4 linked regions of the Yarrowia lipolytica genome follow. The protein of the gene in region 3 purifies or fractionates together with the protein of the main gene of each other region. This does not show direct contact. Links are inferred from orthologs where the notes say so. Each region holds a gene or a part of one and is shown on either strand. Other genes may lie near its edges. The genes, in order: YALI1_F34928g, YALI1_C02831g, YALI1_B16584g and YALI1_D12483g.

Region 1 (3,719 bases), on a different chromosome or scaffold from region 3:
GGGAGCCCAGATGACCGGCGACACCGGCGTTAACAGGAACCAGAGAGGACTTTCGTAGCTCAGGCTCGAGCAGCTTGAATCGAATGGTAAGCTGGGCAGGGGTAAGAACTCCCTCGGTCTGAGCGACCTCGGGAATAGAGTCCAGAGCGGCCTGCAGCAGAGGATCGTCACCAGCAGCCCGTCGGATGGACTCGACGTAAGGGCCGAGGGCCACGGGCTCGGAACCCTTGAGAGCACCGGTGAGCTTAGCGATGGCAAGATGCAGAGCTGCGGTTCGGCCGGAGGCGTCAACGGCCTGCTCGGTCTTGAGAGCCAGGTCCTGCAGCTGGGTGAGGGAAGTCTGGAGGTCCTTGAGCTTGGAGAGACGGCCCTCTCGCTCGGTTTCGACTCGCTCGGCAATCTCCTGGGCGTACTGCTTTTGTCGCTCGGCCTCGACGGCCTGAATCAGGTTGTTGGCGTGAGAAGAAACAAGGGACTTGGTGGCCTCAATCTCGACTCGGAGACGGTCGTGGTAGACCTTCTCAGAGTGGGCTCGCAGAGCGGCAAACTCGTTTCGCAGCTGCTGCTCGGCGGCAGACACCTTAGACGAGATTTCCTCGCCGGTGGAAGCCTTGAGCTTGGCCAGCTCGCTGTTGAGCTTGTTGATGGAGTTCTTAGCTTCCTCGGCGGCCTCAGACTTGATCTGGGCCACGTTGTGCTGCAGCTGGTCGACCACGGTGGAGACCTTGGCGGAGAGCTGCTTGGCGGCACCAGAGGGGGCCACGGCGATCAGATCATTGAAGGTCTGGACGGCGGCCTTGACGGCGGGGTCAGAGTCGTTAGCCAGTCGCACAGCGGGCACGGTGGTGTTGTCAGTCTTGGGGGAACCACTAGAGACAGGGGAGGCGGTGGCAGCAGGAGCGGGGGAAGCGACGTCCTTGGCCACGTTGGCAGCGGGAGAAGATGCAGACTTGGCAGAAGTAGCAGCATCGGTGGAGTCGACCGCTCGCCAGGTAGCACCGGACTTGGGCACTCGGACGGTGGACTGGTCAACGTCATGCTTGGAGGTGGGAGTCGCGATCTTGAGTCGGCCGGATCGCAGCTGCTGCTCCTCAATGTAGTTGATGGCGTGCTCGGCCGCGGGCACGTACTCGACAAACAGGCTCTGGAACTGGTCGTTCTGAAGGGAGTAATAAACACCTCCGGCAAAGGCGCCGGCGCCGACAAAGGTGGAGAGCAGCACAAAGTTTCGGAACTTGTGAGTCTTCTTCTTCTGCTTGGAGGCTCCCTCAAAGGTGGCTCCGGGAGGCTTGCCCGAGGCAGCAGAGGCGCCATTGGCTGTTCCAACAGTGGAGCCGGTAGCGGGCTTGGCGGCCTGCTGGAGCCGAGAGGCGGTGCTCAGCATGCGACGCTGCACAATTGACCGGTGCATGGCTGTAGCTCTGATCATTGTGTGTTTGGTCGAGGTTTTTTTCTGTTCAGTACAGACCTTGTGTGGTGAGGAACAGCAATAGCAAGGGTGGCTTTTGATTGGGTGCAGGTGCCCTTACCCTGTTGGGAGGTTTGTCTAGGTGCCTGGGATGGAGGACAATGTTTTGTCACTGTCAAGACGGGATATTGTGGGGATTTGAGAAATATATTTGATCAGCCGGTCTCGAAGATTATATTCGCGCTTTCGCCTTTGAAATTGCTCCTTTTGTTGCCGTTTCGAACTGTAGTCTCGTGCTACTGAGTCTCATGTTAATTTTTGTTTCGGCCTCGACTTAATTAACTCTAACCAATGTTATTTTCGTGCATTAACGAAACTCGAACGCACGATCAGTCACACTCTCCACCATCAAATATCACGTACAGACTGGTACCCCATACATACTACCATCTGAAGACGACACACCACCCATCATGACTACAACAGCTCCAGCCCCCCAGGTGTATGGAGGCGATGAGGTGGCGACCCTGGTGATCGACACCGGGTCGTCGTACACTCGAGTCGGATACGCCGGAGAAGATACCCCCAAACTGGTGGTTTCCACAGAGTGTGGACTGATGGCAGACGAGGATGTCGAGATGGAGGACGATACAAGCAACACAACCAAAAAATTAAACAAGTACAAGGTTGGCGACTCCGCCAATCTGCCACTGCCCAACATGGAGGTGCTTCATCCTCTTACCGACGGGATTGTGGCTGATTGGGACGCGGTGCAGAATATTTGGGAATACTCGCTGGCTCGACTCAATGCCGACACAAAGACACACCCATTGATGCTGACGGAGCCGTGCTGGAACACGCAGGCCAACAAGCTCAAGGCGCTTGAAATCGCGTTCGAGAGCCTCGAGGTCCCGGCATCGTACTTGGTCAAGGACGCTGTGGCTTCTGCGTTTGCTGCAGGAAAGGGAAACGCACTGGTACTGGATGTAGGATCTGAAGTGGCTTCTGTGACACCTGTCATTGATGGATTGGTGCTTTACAAGCCCGCGCGACGGTCACAGTACGCTGGAGACTATTTGGATAGACAGATTAAAAAGGTGCTTGTTTCACGAGGAATCGATCTCACTCCTCGGTTCGAGATTAAGAACAAGAAGGCTGTGGAGATGGGTGAGCCACCTGTGTTCACCAAGCGGGAGCTTCCCAACGTCACTCATTCCTTCACTGATCTGCAGGTGTCTCGTATTCTCTCTGAGTTCAAGGACTCCATGTGTCAGGTGAACGATGTTCCCCTGACTCCAGAAATCTCTGGTGAAGCCGCCGACCGGGTCTTCGAGTTCCCCACGGGCTACAGCACAACTTTCGGAGCAGACCGTCTGTCTACTTCTGAGAGCTTATTCAAGCCCAGTGAGTACCCTTTTGACGGAGAGACTGTGCCAGATACTGCGCGGGGACTCAGTGAGATGGTGGTGGACACAATCAACGCTTCCAACGTGGATGTGAGGGCTCACCTGGCTAACAACATTGTTATCACTGGTGGAGGGTCGCTGGTTCAGGGTCTCAGTGATAGAGTCAGTAAGGACGTGACCCAGGCCCTGAGTGGTCTTAAGGTCCGAGTTGCTGCTGCTTCCAACCAGGAGGAGCGACGACACGGTGCTTGGATTGGCGGTTCTGTTTTGGGCAGCCTGGGATCGTTCCATCAGCTGTGGGTCAGCAAACAGGAGTGGCAGGAGAAGGGAGGAGACTATTTGGTCGAAAAGAAGCGGTTCAAGTAAAGGACTAGAACTAAGATTGTATAGATGGAATGTATTATTTAATGGCAATAAGTTCTTGTCACAGTCGGTATTCTATAGGTACATCCTGTACATACTGTACTTACACTTGTACACTATGTACATACTGTACATGCGTACAATACCTTGTAGTACGCAGCAGTGGCTACTTTTACTTTCTTCATGATTAATCATACAGTATGTACTGTAATATCTACAACTAGAGATACATGTTTACTGCTTGTACGATGGTATCGTACAACCGCCCCGTTCTTCCTCAGCTCGCTATAAGTAAATTGTTCACATTACGAAAACTGAACGGTCCATTCATCCTCGTTCAGTGCAGATAATAATAAATATGCTATTCCTATTTGCAGTTATCTCAATGCTTAATCCCATGATCAGTTCAAAAACTTCCAGTTGCGCTCCTCCATACCCTTCATGACATGCTCGACAAGCTTCTGACGTCGGGACTTGAGGTACGAGCACTTGTCCAGAAAGTTGACCTTGGCTCCCGGAATCCTGTCCCACTTGTACTCAAA
Region 2 (5,030 bases), on a different chromosome or scaffold from region 3:
ACAGGTTCACCGCCATGAAACACAGCTTGAAGAGCCGGATCAGAATGTTTGATTTTTGAATGTTTCCGTCTCCGAGCTCAGGGAGCTTCTCCTTCAGAAACGAAATCAGCAACGAAGAGAAGTTGGCAGAAGTAGCTTCGGAAGCCATGAAGAATTGGGGGATGTGAAGCAGTGCAGAATTGGAGAACATGGCGTCGTAGAGAAAGGGGAGCTCGCTCTCGATGATCTCGTTGAACGACGCCGAGTCAATGTGAATGAACACGGTCACAAATGTCTCCATGAGATCCTTCTCGGCTTTGGAACTGACCACAGGCAGCGAGGGGGCACCGAGGTCGTTGTTGGCGACCGTAGCGGTCTTGTCGGTCACGTGAGAGGCGAAAAACAGATGACCCTTGATGCCCTCCTCAAACAGCTTGCGGAAGATAGTAATTTGCTCAAAGTTGAACAGTCGGGCGGACTCGTTCCACACAGCCTCGCTAATGTCGGCAATTGGACATGGTGGGTTGCACGACTTGAGGCCAAACATGACCGTTTTGAGGAAGTTCATGAGGTTCTTGAACAAGTAACGGGCGTCCTCGAGGGGATCCGTCGTGGGAGTAGGGTGAATCTTGATCAGCGACGACGCCTGGATCTCAAAGTAGTCAAAGTCGTACTCGGATTCGATCCGGGGCTTCTGCGGGACGACATCGTTGGACTCGACCTCGTCGACTTCTAGGTCCTCGGCCTTGCGTTTGAGCCCAGATGACTCAGCAGAGGTTCCCAGCTTCACGTCAACCTGGATGTCCTCCTCGGGCTTGACTTCAGCAATGGGTTTGTCTCCACCTTCAGCCTTCTTCTCAGCCTGCTCTTTCAGCCACCGCTCGTGGCCCCTCATGACATTGGGATATGTTCTGTTGAGGGCACCGAAGAGCTCTGTGAAGGCATTCAGAATCAATACCATGGTCTGACGGCCCTCGTTGCGATCCTGCAGCTTCATGATCGGGTCCACAAGGTTCAGGAGCAGCTTGGCACTCATAATCTGGAACGAGTTGGCCAGCGACGCGTCCAGCATATTGGCGCAGTACACCTTGACAGTCTTCCAGATTTGCTGGAGCGTCAATTCGCTGCGCACGTGGTGAATGAGATCCGCCATGATAGAGTATGCCAGCGGCTTGAGCGTTTCTCTGACTGTCAGACCATCACCAATCAACACCCGCTCCTCCAGCAGAATGTCAATTTTGGGGATGAACATGGTCCTTATATCCGTCGACGTAATGTGTCGAGCGGCGACCAGGAGCTCCTTTCGAGCGGCGGAAAGCTCGCAGGGGCAGTCCTGAAGAAGACGCACCACGAGATCGGGAATGATCACGTGATATTCCTGCAGAAACGGCGGGAAGCCTCGCAGCGCGTATGCCAGAAACGACATGGTCTTGACCTGGCAGGTGATGAAGTCGCCGTAAGCCGCGCGGTTGCGGATCTGGGGCGAGATGGTCGTCAGGATATCGCCACGAGCCTCGGCCTGGGCATGGGCCTCGGCCTGGGGAGGGGCTTGAATTCTCAGCATCTCAATCACGTGAGGCAGGAACTGAGGCAAGAGTGTGGGCACCATGGCTCTGTGGGTGGAGAAGAGCAGTACCACAATGATGGGGCACTCAATGAGCACCTTGAATGAGAACAACGACTTGGCCAGGGGGCGAGAAGCTGCTCCGCCAGGTGTGGCGACGCTCACGTCTCCGTCAGAGACTAGAGACGGCGACATGGGGGACTGGAAGTTTGAGGAGCCGGTCTGGTTGACGCCAAACGTGTCCTTGACGACCGAGGGGATGTTCTTGTAGAGGTCGGTGACGAGCTCAAGGAACTGGGTCACGTGGTCGCCGCCCAGGTGCGCCTTGTAGCCCTTGTGCAGGGCCGTGAGGATTTTCATACATGTCACTCCGTTTTCTTCGTTGTCGGTACGGAGGATGGACATGATTTGCTCCAACAGAGCGGAGGAGTAGGGTTTGAGGAGATCGTTGGTTTGTAGACGAAGGAGTATTTCGAGGATCGATGATCGGAGTTTCTGAGTTAGTACGGGAGGTGGGGTGAGTGACTAAGTGAAGAAAGGCAGACATACTGAGAGCCATAGTGGCAGATGTCATTCATCAACAGCAGCAACAACTGTGACAGTATCCTCCAGTCCATATTAGTCACTCCTCATCTCTGAGATTGAACCAGGAACCGAGTGAGATGAGAGGTGATTGTTGTATCTCGTGTGTCGTCTGCATTTATCAGGTTTTTCTCTTGCCATTCCTCTAGAATGATTCTATCGTACTCACTTGCTCGACGGAAATACTCGTGAAAGACACGGGGGTGGACTCCAAGATTTTGGTGTATACCGGCATCATCTTCTGCAGATAGTATTCGTAGTCTGCGGGGGAAGATTGAAATGAATCAACGGCATCTCGGAGTTCTGACGCAGCGACTACTTTTGATTTTAGGTCTGGGTTAGCGGAGTTCAATGGAGCTCCAAGAGCGAATGGATGAAAGGGCAGAGCGACGATATGTTGCTCTCGAGATGATGGCGATATGTAGCGACGAGAATGCCAAACCGAACGATTTAGACCGGTGAAGGACGATATGACAGACAGTGTAGCATGCATGGGCGAATGGACGCTGGAACGGACGAATATGAAGTGCTACAGTAAAAGTGGCAGAGTCCGTGGTGAGGAACACTGTTATGCCAGCCTTTCAAAAGTAGCAGAGCCCATAGTGTCGACCACTGGTGTTATGCCAGCGTCTCTACAGACAATTCTCACTGACCATCACAACACCACATCCATTTCGCCCAAAAACCGTCGAATGAGCTCAAAAAAACGTGATCCTGGCTCGTCTCCATCGTGTTATTCACCCTATCCACCTCTTTTGTCACTCAGACGTCTCCTTCGCATTTTGTCGAGTTCCATCACTGGGTGTCTCACACCTCTCCGCCTCTTCACCTGCTCAATACTCACCGGAATCATCGCTCAGACGGCTGTGGAACGCATCAACTTGCGCCTGGGTTGAAGCGTCGCGCATTTTGGGCTGTGACGGGCTCAAAAACGATGTGGAAATGTGATGTGTGGAGCAAAAGAGACTACCGAAATGTTCGTGAACACCAACTGGGACATGCACCTTGTGAAATTTCCTTACGTAAGCGTGTATAGGGTTGAAAACCGATAAATGGCGAGTGGGGGGCGGTTTTTTCAAAATTGAAAAGATTTTCCCGTGATATAAGCGATTTCGAGTCGATCTGTATATTGAGATTTTCAATAGCTCGTCAGCAACACATCCGAATGCCCGTCTCCAATTTCGTGTTTAGCTTTCCCTTCTGGTCAGTGGCTGGGAAAGTTTAATTTTTCTATGAGAAAAGTGATCACCCTCGTTAAGGACCAAATATTGGGTGGATTGAAAATCTGAGTGGATTTATGGAATCAGCGTATCTTGAGCTCCTCCCCGATACCAAATTTGAAGGTAAAAATCAAGAATTTTGGCTGATAATGGCAACGTCTGGAATCTGACAAAAATGTGGGAACCCCGTTTGTGAAATTTGCTTATGTAATCGTACATAAGGTTTCGAACATTTAGACGAGAGAAGGCATCTCTTAGTAAGCGTGTACCAATTGTCTGGCGCTTAGTAAGCACGTCCTACCAAAATGCCGTAGTGAGGGTGGGGAGGGAAAAAGAGAGGTGACGCTTACTTACTTGCGTCTAGCACACTCCGATACGGGGAATCGAACCCCGGTCTCCACGGTTCTCGACTTGAGAGCGTGATGTGATAGCCCCTACACTATATCGGACTGTTTTGTTCCGGAGGAGGATGCAGGGTAGATGTGAAAGACGGGTTTTGGGGCGACATAAAAAAACGGAAAAAGTGGGATAATGGAAAGGGGAGTTGATTATAAGGTTCCACTCGAGTTTTTGAAGTTGTGAGGGTGTTTTTTTGAGAATCTGGGGTGTTTTTTGACGGAGTTGAGGTCAGTGGAGGTTGAGCAGGGCTGGATAGGAGATGGGGAAGCAGGATATGACAGAAGATGGGAACAGGACTTGATGACTTGATGAGGTGATCAAACCCGCTCCGCTGAATCAATTGTGATTGTCGGATTTACTATAGAAGCTGTGGATGAGGAGATAGATGAGCGATGTGTGTTTGGAAGATGAAGGTGAACTTGTATACTGCACCCTTAGATAAGTCTCTGTTACGTAATCAGATTGTATGGCAGCAGAATGTTGGGAATTCAGTTGTTTTGTGGTTTCCACTCAGACATTTTCATACACTTTTCATCTACATTCTGGTCTATACACGGTCGGATCAGCTCTCATATTCCGACTCATTTTTGAGGGCACAATTTCCGAGCCGCATGAGCAAAAGGCGAGATATCTAGGAGATAAAAACCAGTAAAGCATTGGAGGAATACCCTGGAAGGAAAAAAATAGACCCGTTCTCGCTGTGTGGAATTCAAAAAAATCACTGATCAGCTAGAAGCTAGGGGAATTAAACCCCCATATGTTCCTCCACTGTCAGTTCTGTTAGAACTTGACATGGACAGGAATTGAACCTGCAACCCTTCGATTACAACCAAGTTGACTGGAGTCGAAAGCTCTACCATTGAGCCACCACATCAGTGATATTATAATTTTTTTCTGTTTGGACCCAGCTACAGTGAAATCTGGCTTTTTTTCCCCCATTCATTTTTCTGGCCTTACAGGGCGTAATGGGCGAGGGGACTGATTGTGGAAAGTTGCAGAGGGCTCTATATACATTCACACATACAAAAACCTCGATAAATGTTGATCTGATGCCTCTGGGGGTTGTTTTTGTTGGGGAGAGGAGAGAATGTTGTATCAACGACAGCAGAAGGACTAGAATAAAACAAAACAAAAAACACGTGTTTCAAGTGGAAGATTTTAACGGGAAATTCGATTAGAAGATGAAAGGAAAGGTGTGAAAGCTGTCGTCATGCTGTTGGATGATTTTCCCCATTCAGGAGGGTATTATCTCCATTAATGTCAACTAAATGTAACTATACTCATGA
Region 3 (4,675 bases):
AGTACTTAGCTACAGGTAGAACACCTTACATTAGACTACGAGTACAAGTACTTGTACGACCACTCTACCCTTGCCAAAATAGCCCCAAATCAAGGCAGGGTGGAATCTGAAACAAGCATCTTGGCTCATAATTAGCGGTCTCTATAGTTCAATACATAAAACGAATCGCCAAATCAAGTCGGCTCAGATATGCGTTTTTCGATATCTCTTCAATCAAATTCAAACCAGAGTGAGTGACATCAACACAAAGCTTGCCCTGCACGTCTGTCATATTGCAGTCACAGTGCAGATTGATAACAAAGTTGACAGATTACAAATGTCGTCGTTATCAGCAGCTGCCACAATACAATAAAACCCCCCCCTAACTTCAAACACAATGCTCCCCGGTCGAAATACAAGTACAATGAAACCAAATCTCCAGGACATGTGCATACAGTGATACAGCACATGCTCGCCTCACCAGTAAATCCACTACAATATCAAATAAGAATACACCATGGGTGCTCATAAATCATCATTACTATATACAGTCTTCTCTTTACGCATCCACCTTTGCCAACTCAGATTTCTGCTTCATGTCTCCTCCAGGCATCATCCGCTGACTCATGCCATTCGGAAGAACCCCATTGGCCATGGCCCCTCCGTTGGGCAGTCCGTTGAATCGTTGACCATCAGGACTGCCACTAGATCGCCGAGGTTGAGCGGCCATCGCTGCAGCCGCGGAAGCTGCATTCATAGGAGCGACTCCCATTTTACGCTGTTGTTGCTGCTGTTGCTGCTGCTGTTGTTGTTGCTGCATCTGTTGATATTGTTGATGTTGGCTGGGCGTCATACCTTGCTTGTTGTAGCCCATGGGAGCGGCATTGTGCATCTTGGACTGAGGGCCATTAGTACCGGGAGCAGGACTGTTGTTGCGACTGCCGCCAGCTCCTCCTCCGGCTCCTTGACCACCTCCTAGACCGGCCCCTGGGTCGCCCGGGGGGTGAGATTGTTGCCGGTTTCGCATCTGTTGCTGTTGCTGCTGCTGAAGAATCTGCTGCTGTAGCATCATCAACTGCTGCTGGCGCTGCTGGAACACCTCGCGGTAGTTCTCGTAGGCCTTGGACAGCAGCATGGAGCCAAACCGAATTGACTGTGTGTCCGACGAAATGCCATTCAGCTGAGACGGGTCCTTGTCGTAGCTGGACATTTGCCGCGTCGGCTCTGTCTCTCGATCGTACTTTTGCCGGTCTGCCAGTCGCTCCATGGCAACCTCGTCTGCCTCACTCTCGGCAGTGTCGTCCAGGGAGTTTTTGGCCAGACTGCTGGGCTTGAGCACAGTGTTGCGCTGCAGGCCTCGCCGGTCCATCCACATCCGTCCTCCTCGACCAACACGCTTTCGCATGGACATAAAAGAAGACCGGGGAATAACACGGTCCACAGGTGACGAAGTAGATGTTGCATCTGATAATCGCAACTCCCCATCATCTCCCACAATAGCACCATACACCTGAGCATCTGCAAAGGGCTTGTTGCCAACCATACTGGCGAGATCCTTGTTGAAGTCGCTCTTGGTGGTGTACCGGTGGCTGGCGTTGTGCTTCTCAAAGTAAGCCATCTCATTGATAGACGAGTACTGAGGCACAGGAGGCTCACCAGAAGAAGATACCTCAGCGTTCAAGTACTCGCAGTAAGGAATGTAGCCCGAGTTTGTGAGATTGTGCCAGTCGCGGTCTGCATCTGCTCGAAGTCGTAGCTTCTCGCGCACCGCCTTTGCAATCGCCTCGTCCTTGTCTCGCACAACTTGGGCAATAGTGATGAGGTCCATGTTGGGGATCTTGGACGGTGGAATGGACACATTTGGTGGCACATGTGTGGAAGACACGGAAGGCGAACCCGAGCCTGCAGCAGCAGCCTGTGCAGCAGCGGCCTGGGCAGAAGCAGCAGAGCCAGCGGCCTTGCCTCCTCGAACAGGAGTAGATGCCTTCTCCGCTTTTTCCTCCTTCTTGGGCTCCACCTTTCGCTTCTTTTGAGCCACCAGATCCTCATCCTCACCTTTGATGCCCAACTCTCGCTTGAGAGTCTTGATGGCGCATCTGTCCTCGAACACATCCCATTCAGCCTTGAGAGCAGCCTTGCGAGTAAATTCTCGCGTGGCAACCATCTCCACCAGCTGCTTGGCGGTTTCCATCTCTGCCTGCATGCGCCGTAGTCGCTCGATGCTCAACACGTCCGTACGACGAGTCTTTCGCACCTGCCGCAACTCTCGGCGTCGGAAACACACATATGGGTCACTGTCGTCCTTCTCATGATCCTCAAATTTTAGGTGGGGCACAATGGACTGGCCTTTGCGTTCCACCTTGCGTGCTCGCCAGTGTGGATAGATGACAGCGCCGATCTTCTTGAACGTTGCCAGAAACGCCTTACCCTCATTCTTACCCTTAGTACCATTCACAGTGATGCCTAGAGAAGACTGCAACTGCGCCAAAATGTATTCCGGCGACGTTGGGTCCTCCTGAACCTGCCGAATACCATCTTCAATGTGCTGGGCCATCTCCTCAAACGACAGAAGGTTCGACACGTCGATGGACACAAACGGTTGTTTTTCGCTGATGGTCACCTCGAATCTGTGCATCACCTCCTCGAAGTCGTCTTCCGATATTGGCGGCTTGCACGTCTTGAGAAACTCTGCATCTTCATCATCCATGTTGTAGAGACATCCGGAGGTCTCTTCGACCGTCACACTCGTCCGGATGTAACTGGCGGGCTCATGAAACGACGAAGAGTAGAACCGGTCATACTCCTTCCACACCTGCGACGCATCTGGGGTGGGAATGTAGATTTTCTCCACCTTTGCGCCGGTGCTCTGGGCTATCGATGAGTTGATGGCCGCCTGCAGATGGTGCTCCTCCTCCTCGCCCTTCTCCACTCCCGTCTCAATCTGTTGCAGCTCGCGCTGCTGCTCCTCCTCAAGGTCTGGGATGTCAGACTGCTTGAGTACCGCCAGCGTCTGCTTGACGCTGATTTTCCGCTGGCGGAAGCGTGCCGACGAACCGGCCGCCTTGGCTGCCTTGGCCATTCTTGGTGGAGTCGTATGGGAACGCTTTAAGCGTGGTTGCTGTGTGTGTTGTTGGTGATGTCTTTTTTTAGTGTCGCCCTGTTAATCCTCCCCTGTAAAAAAATGCGCGTGTCACGGTGTCTGCGAAGTTTTAAAAATAAAAGAGCAGGGAAAGTAGGCCGAAAATGGGGGCAAAAAGAGCGCTGAAAAGAGGTCTGGTCAGGGCCGGTGTCTTACAGTAGTGTCTGCTCTTGCTTGCTGTCGTTTTTTCGTCCGCTCCACTCCTCCTCCTCGCAGTCTCGTCGATAATTTCTGGTGATAATCCGCCTAGAAAAATTTGCACATTTCGTCGCCGCTCCTTATTGGCCCGTTGTTGCCACTGGGACAACTCTTACCCCGCAATAGGAAATCTAGGGCTAGGGTATATGATTGTTGGGACTTGTTACGTCAGAACCTGCCCGAGTCTAAGCACAGGAGAGCTGGTCGTAAAGCCAAAAAGAGGGGGTTAATTTGCCACCGAAGGGGGTTACGTGTCGCAATCGAACGTCAGTCAGCTGGTTCGTAACAAGGCTGTTGGCGCAAATAAAATCAAATAGTTCGCCGCGGGTGAGATTTCAATGCTCAGTGGGTCGTTGTCTGTGCAAGTCGTCTTTCTCAGATGTCGGTAACGATGTTGTTGTGTGGTGCCCACTTGGTGTCGTTGCCGTCGTCGGTGTTGTGTTGTGTTATGTCGTGCACAGTGTGCCGTGTGTCTCGTGTGTGTGTGTGTGTGTAATGTTGATTGACAGCAGCCTCCACAAAGAGTTGCAAGGGGGGTGTGGTGTGTTTGGTTTCCCGACCCAGAATAGGCTTTTACTTCCTCCCAACGAACAAACTCTAACGAAACTCCCAGCACACACCAAAATCCCAGATATTATCTGGCAGTTTGGCATCCCATACTCATACTCGTAGTCCCCTCGTCAAACCCAAAGCCCTAACCCGGCGCTCCCAATTCGGCCAGCGTTCTGAGGATGGGTGGAAATAGCGCCAGTGTGGTGGGTTGATCAGGTGGAAGTCAAGAGGTCGGAAATGGGCCAGTCGGGCACAGGACCTCAGGAGTGCGTCGTACTGAGTGTCTCGGGGCCACTGTGGAGTCGAAGAGGTGCTCGTGACCGAAACGTGAGTCCCTCAGCGCCACACTGACCGGGTGCCCATACCGGGACCCCCAGACAGTACCCCAAGGAGACGCCAGCGGTGCGAATTGGCACAAAGCCAAGTCCACCGGATTGTGGGGACTCTGCCATGTCAAAGCAAGCAGGAATTCCATCACTTTTGCGGTACTTTTTCTCGCTCCGATTTGGCCACCTTTGTAGGTAAAATTGCCAGGTTCCAGTTACATCAGAGAATGGTGGAGAGGGGACGAAAACACACGGGGGTTGTAGACTCACTTTGGGCAGCACACACTGAGCGGTGTGGCCGTTTTTATCGCTGGTTAGTTATCTTTTGGTGGACATTCTGATGTGTGGTGTGTGGGGTAGAAGAGTGAGAAGAGAAGTGAAAGTAAAAGTGCATTGAGAGTGCACGGTGCAAGAGCCAGTCAGTCGGGACCTGATGACACTAAGTCTTATGGGTAGGAAAATGGGGCAAAAAGGACTCCTG
Region 4 (3,612 bases), on a different chromosome or scaffold from region 3:
CTTACGACTCTCCAGTCAAAGCTTGCATTCCTGAGGCCCGTCCTGCCACTTATGAGACTAGTGTGAGCTCTTCTTTCATCCCCCCCTTGCAAATCAAGAAGCGGGTACCCTCTGGACCCCGGCCTGAAGGCTCGCATGTCCGACGACCTTCCCGGGAGTCTAGAAACATGCTTCCCGAGCTCGATCTTGATTTCGACTTTGGTTTGACGGCTTAAACCAAACTAGATTTCAACTTTTTTGACATTCACGCCTGCACCTCTCTTTTTATATATATAGTCTTTTTCTAAGCGCTTTTCTGTATTTATTGAATAAACAAAACGATTCCTTTCGCAAACTTGTGTCATTGTAGCACTTTACACCGTTACACCCACTGTTATACATGTATTGAGTAGTTAGCTAGCTATATGGTCAAACGTGATTAATCACCACCGACCAACGGCCTATGACAGATGATGTTGTCGGTAGGCCAGCTCGGAGGGAATCGCTGCGCGACTCTTTGCCTCGCTCTTCGTTTCTAACCCTAAAGACCCTTGGACAGAGCCTCGTATGCGGGCGAAGCATTTGTGTAAGCCTCCTTCAAAAAGTACGTTTTCTGGTGGGTCGACAGAAACCGCACAAAGTCCTCCAAGTGCTCCTTGAGCACCGCCACGCTTTGGGCATCCATGTTGGTCATAGCAATGAGCCCCGGGAGCGACACAAACAGCCGCAGCAGATGCTCCGCGCCGTAGACTTCGCTCATGGTCTTGTTGGAGTGGTCTGGGCTCTGGGTGATTTGTAGGTACTGCTCTCGCTCGAATCTGTAGAGCAAGATTGAGCCCAGCGAGCGATCAAAGTAGAGCTTGATTCCCGACACCACCTCGTTGAGAATATCGGCGTCGGCAGAGCCAGGTCTATATTTGGCCTCCGCCTCCTTTTTGAATTCCTTGAGAATGTCCACCACCGTCACCTTCCGGGGCAAGCCGACAAGCTGGTGGTCCTTGGTGACAAACTCCCAGTCGTCTACCAGCTGGGCCTTGAGCTTGTCGGGCACAACAAGCGCAATTTCCTTGCGTTTTAGATAGTCGTCTTCCTTCTCGAGGTCCTCCAGGGCAGCGAGTCCCCCTCGTCGTTTCACGGGACGGGGTCCCTCAGCAGGAGAGTCCTTTGATGCCATGGATTTGCGCTTTGTGGTTGGTGCCGGAGAGGCCGTTTCACTGAGCGCCTCGGGAGGAGCCAGGGCGTCAAAATCCTTGCCCTTCTTGGCCGCTGCTAGAGCCGCAGCCTTGAGCTCCTTCTGTAGCTTGATGTTGTCCTCGTTGAGAGCCAGTACCCGCTCCTCGCCGACCCACTCGTCCCACGTGTTTTTCCAGCCCTTGTAGTGCACGTAGTAGCAGATTTTGTCCTCGTTTTCGTCGGCCAGATCTGCGGGCACGTCAGGTTTCCCTTCCTTTGGACTAAAGTGTCGGTTTTTGTCGTTGGAGTCGTCTCCATCGGGCGTTGCGCCCGCAGCAGGAAGAGAGGCGCGAGGACCCCGCTTGCGCTTGTGAGTGTTGACCACGTTTCCGATCTCAACCGTGGGCGGAAGCCCGTCCTCCACCTTGGCCTTAGAGCCGCGTTTGGAGGGGTCGTAAGACATGAGGATCTTTGCTTCGTAGAGCAGCGGACCATGGTACGCCAGGCACCGCGAATTGGTGGCTAGAACCATGATTGCGGAGATTGTGTGTATGTGGGTTGGTGGTGAAGTAGGAGGAGCGTCCTAAAGTGGTGATATAGAGTTGGCGAGTTAGTAGCGCAAGTACGCGTGAAAAATACAACGAGAGGAGGAAGAAGGTGAGGTTGAGAGTGTATGGCGTGAGAAAAGAAACGAGAACGTTTTTTTTACCCGGTGGATGAGTGTGTTTTCAGCAAATATTAGTTTGTATACGCCGTTTCGATACTCCTAATCTGTGTGTCAGGGTTGTGGAAGAGTGAAAAACATGCGCTACTGTGTTGCTGTGTATTGGCGCAATGGCTACCTGGAGCTTTTGTTGTGTATTGAGATTGTCGGTTGAGCTGGTTATAGTAGCTTAAACAGCCCCCTGAGATCTTCTATCCTCTTTTTGAGGGCTCTGAGTGGTTCCCTACACTGCTCAAAAGTCATTCAAACGCTTAACTAAACCCAAGTAAATGATAACCTAAATAATTTACATAAACCAAGATATCTTGCAATATTTCTATATGGCTACAAGGTTTTTTTTATGTCATTTGAAAGAGACTCTTTGGTTACATGTTTTTATTTGACTCTTGTAACTCTCGTATAACTGGAACCTCGAATTTGAACCCCCAGCCGACTTTTTTCTTCAACTAATCCCAAGTAAAAAACAACCTTTTCTAAAAATCCTAAAAAAAGACGGTTGGTAGATTGTCAACTGAGCATCACAACCAGCGAAAACTTGCGGGGCGGGTTTAAGGGACCAATTGCATAGAGACATATTTTTAACATCATTAGCAACTATATAAATCCACCCATCGCCTACGATACTTTTTTCCAATCGTGACTACGAGTGTCGTGCCACCAATATGAAAGACTACGCCGCACGCATGACCCCACTTGGTTACTGTAGTAGTACTCCCAACCGTTGGTAAGGCGATACACCCCGACCATCTAACCTGAAAAGGCGCCTAAAATATCTTTTTTCAGCATGCACGAAGTCACAGTGGTAGGAGCGGGTCTTGTGGGCTGTCTGGCGGCTCTGGCATTCGCAGATCGCGGCCACAAGGTGGCGCTTTACGATGCTCGTCCTGATCTCCGGTCCGAGGCGGAGCTCAAAAACGCCTCGTTGCGATCCATTAACCTGGCTGTGTCTGCTCGAGGCATCGAGGCACTCAGATCTGTCGACACCAAGATGGCCGAGCGAGTGCTGGCCGACATTATCCCCATGTACGGTCGTATGATCCACGATCTCCAGGGAGGACAACATGCTCAGGCTTACGGCCTATGGGGCGAGTGTATCAACTCGATTGACCGAGCCCAGCTCAACCGAACCATGCTGGACGTGATTGAAGATAACGCCAACATCACCTTCTTCCCCGAGCACAAACTAACCAACATTTCGCTCAGCCGAAAGGACAAAAAGTACCAGCGACCGACATCGACTTTTGAGACCAAGGAGGGCGAAGAGAGGGTCGTGGAAAGTGACTACATTATTGGAGCAGATGGAGCCTTCAGCAAGACCAGAGATCGACTCCAGCGATACGTCCGAATGAACTACGCCCAGCAGTACATTGACTGTGTCTACCTGGAACTCAAGATCCCCAAGGCCGACGGACCCGATCCGTTTTCCATCTCGCCCAACCACCTGCACATTTGGCCCCGACACAAATACATGCTCATTGCACTGGCCAACGGTGATGGCTCGTTCACATCTACGCTGTTTGCTCCCCCGGCGCTCATGGAACAGGTGTGTGAATCCCAAAACACCTTCATTTCCTTCTTCAAGGAGCAGTTCCCAGACGCATACGAGCTGATGGGCGAGTCTCAGATTCTGGAGTCGTACGAAAACAACCCCCGGTCCCCCCTGGTGTCCCTTAAGTGCTCTCCTTATAATCACAAGGGCGAGTGTCTGCTCGTAGGCGACGCAGCCCACTGCATGG

Evidence for each region.
Region 1: the proteins of YALI1_B16584g (region 3) and YALI1_F34928g purify together in Saccharomyces cerevisiae (affinity purification with western blotting; 18 studies listed by BioGRID, with this or other methods). This does not show direct contact. The link is inferred for Yarrowia lipolytica from reciprocal best matches to the Saccharomyces cerevisiae genes EPL1 and ARP4.
Region 2: the proteins of YALI1_B16584g (region 3) and YALI1_C02831g purify together in Saccharomyces cerevisiae (affinity purification with mass spectrometry; 15 studies listed by BioGRID, with this or other methods). This does not show direct contact. The link is inferred for Yarrowia lipolytica from reciprocal best matches to the Saccharomyces cerevisiae genes EPL1 and TRA1.
Region 4: the proteins of YALI1_B16584g (region 3) and YALI1_D12483g purify together in Saccharomyces cerevisiae (affinity purification with western blotting; 14 studies listed by BioGRID, with this or other methods). This does not show direct contact. The link is inferred for Yarrowia lipolytica from reciprocal best matches to the Saccharomyces cerevisiae genes EPL1 and EAF3.

The regions. Positions count from the first base shown.
Region 1 is NC_090775.1:3,491,015-3,494,733, reverse strand, and holds YALI1_F34928g (uncharacterized protein), read left to right. Parts: upstream 1-1,881; coding exon 1,882-3,180; downstream 3,181-3,719. Other genes in the region: YALI1_F34933g (uncharacterized protein), read right to left, coding at 1-1,429; YALI1_F34895g (uncharacterized protein), read right to left, coding at 3,579-3,719. UniProt on the Saccharomyces cerevisiae protein: Chromatin interaction component of the NuA4 histone acetyltransferase complex which is involved in transcriptional activation of selected genes principally by acetylation of nucleosomal histone H4 and H2A. The NuA4 complex is also involved in DNA repair.
Region 2 is NC_090772.1:281,142-286,171, forward strand, and holds the start of YALI1_C02831g (uncharacterized protein), read right to left. Parts: upstream 3,034-5,030; coding exon 2,970-3,033; intron 2,459-2,969; coding exon 2,295-2,458; intron 2,039-2,294; coding exon 1-2,038. UniProt on the Saccharomyces cerevisiae protein: Essential scaffold subunit of the transcription coactivator SAGA complex. SAGA acts as a general cofactor required for essentially all RNA polymerase II transcription.
Region 3 is NC_090771.1:1,656,798-1,661,472, reverse strand, and holds YALI1_B16584g (uncharacterized protein), read right to left. Parts: upstream 3,059-4,675; coding exon 539-3,058; downstream 1-538. Other genes in the region: YALI1_B16578g (uncharacterized protein), read left to right, coding at 3,116-3,211, 3,280-3,541, 3,588-3,988; YALI1_B16572g (uncharacterized protein), read left to right, coding at 4,106-4,148, 4,201-4,535; YALI1_B16566g (uncharacterized protein), read left to right, coding at 4,628-4,675.
Region 4 is NC_090773.1:1,246,675-1,250,286, forward strand, and holds YALI1_D12483g (uncharacterized protein), read right to left. Parts: upstream 1,685-3,612; coding exon 521-1,684; downstream 1-520. Other genes in the region: YALI1_D12447g (uncharacterized protein), read left to right, coding at 1-215; YALI1_D12493g (uncharacterized protein), read left to right, coding at 2,661-3,612. UniProt on the Saccharomyces cerevisiae protein: Component of the NuA4 histone acetyltransferase complex which is involved in transcriptional activation of selected genes principally by acetylation of nucleosomal histone H4 and H2A. The NuA4 complex is also involved in DNA repair.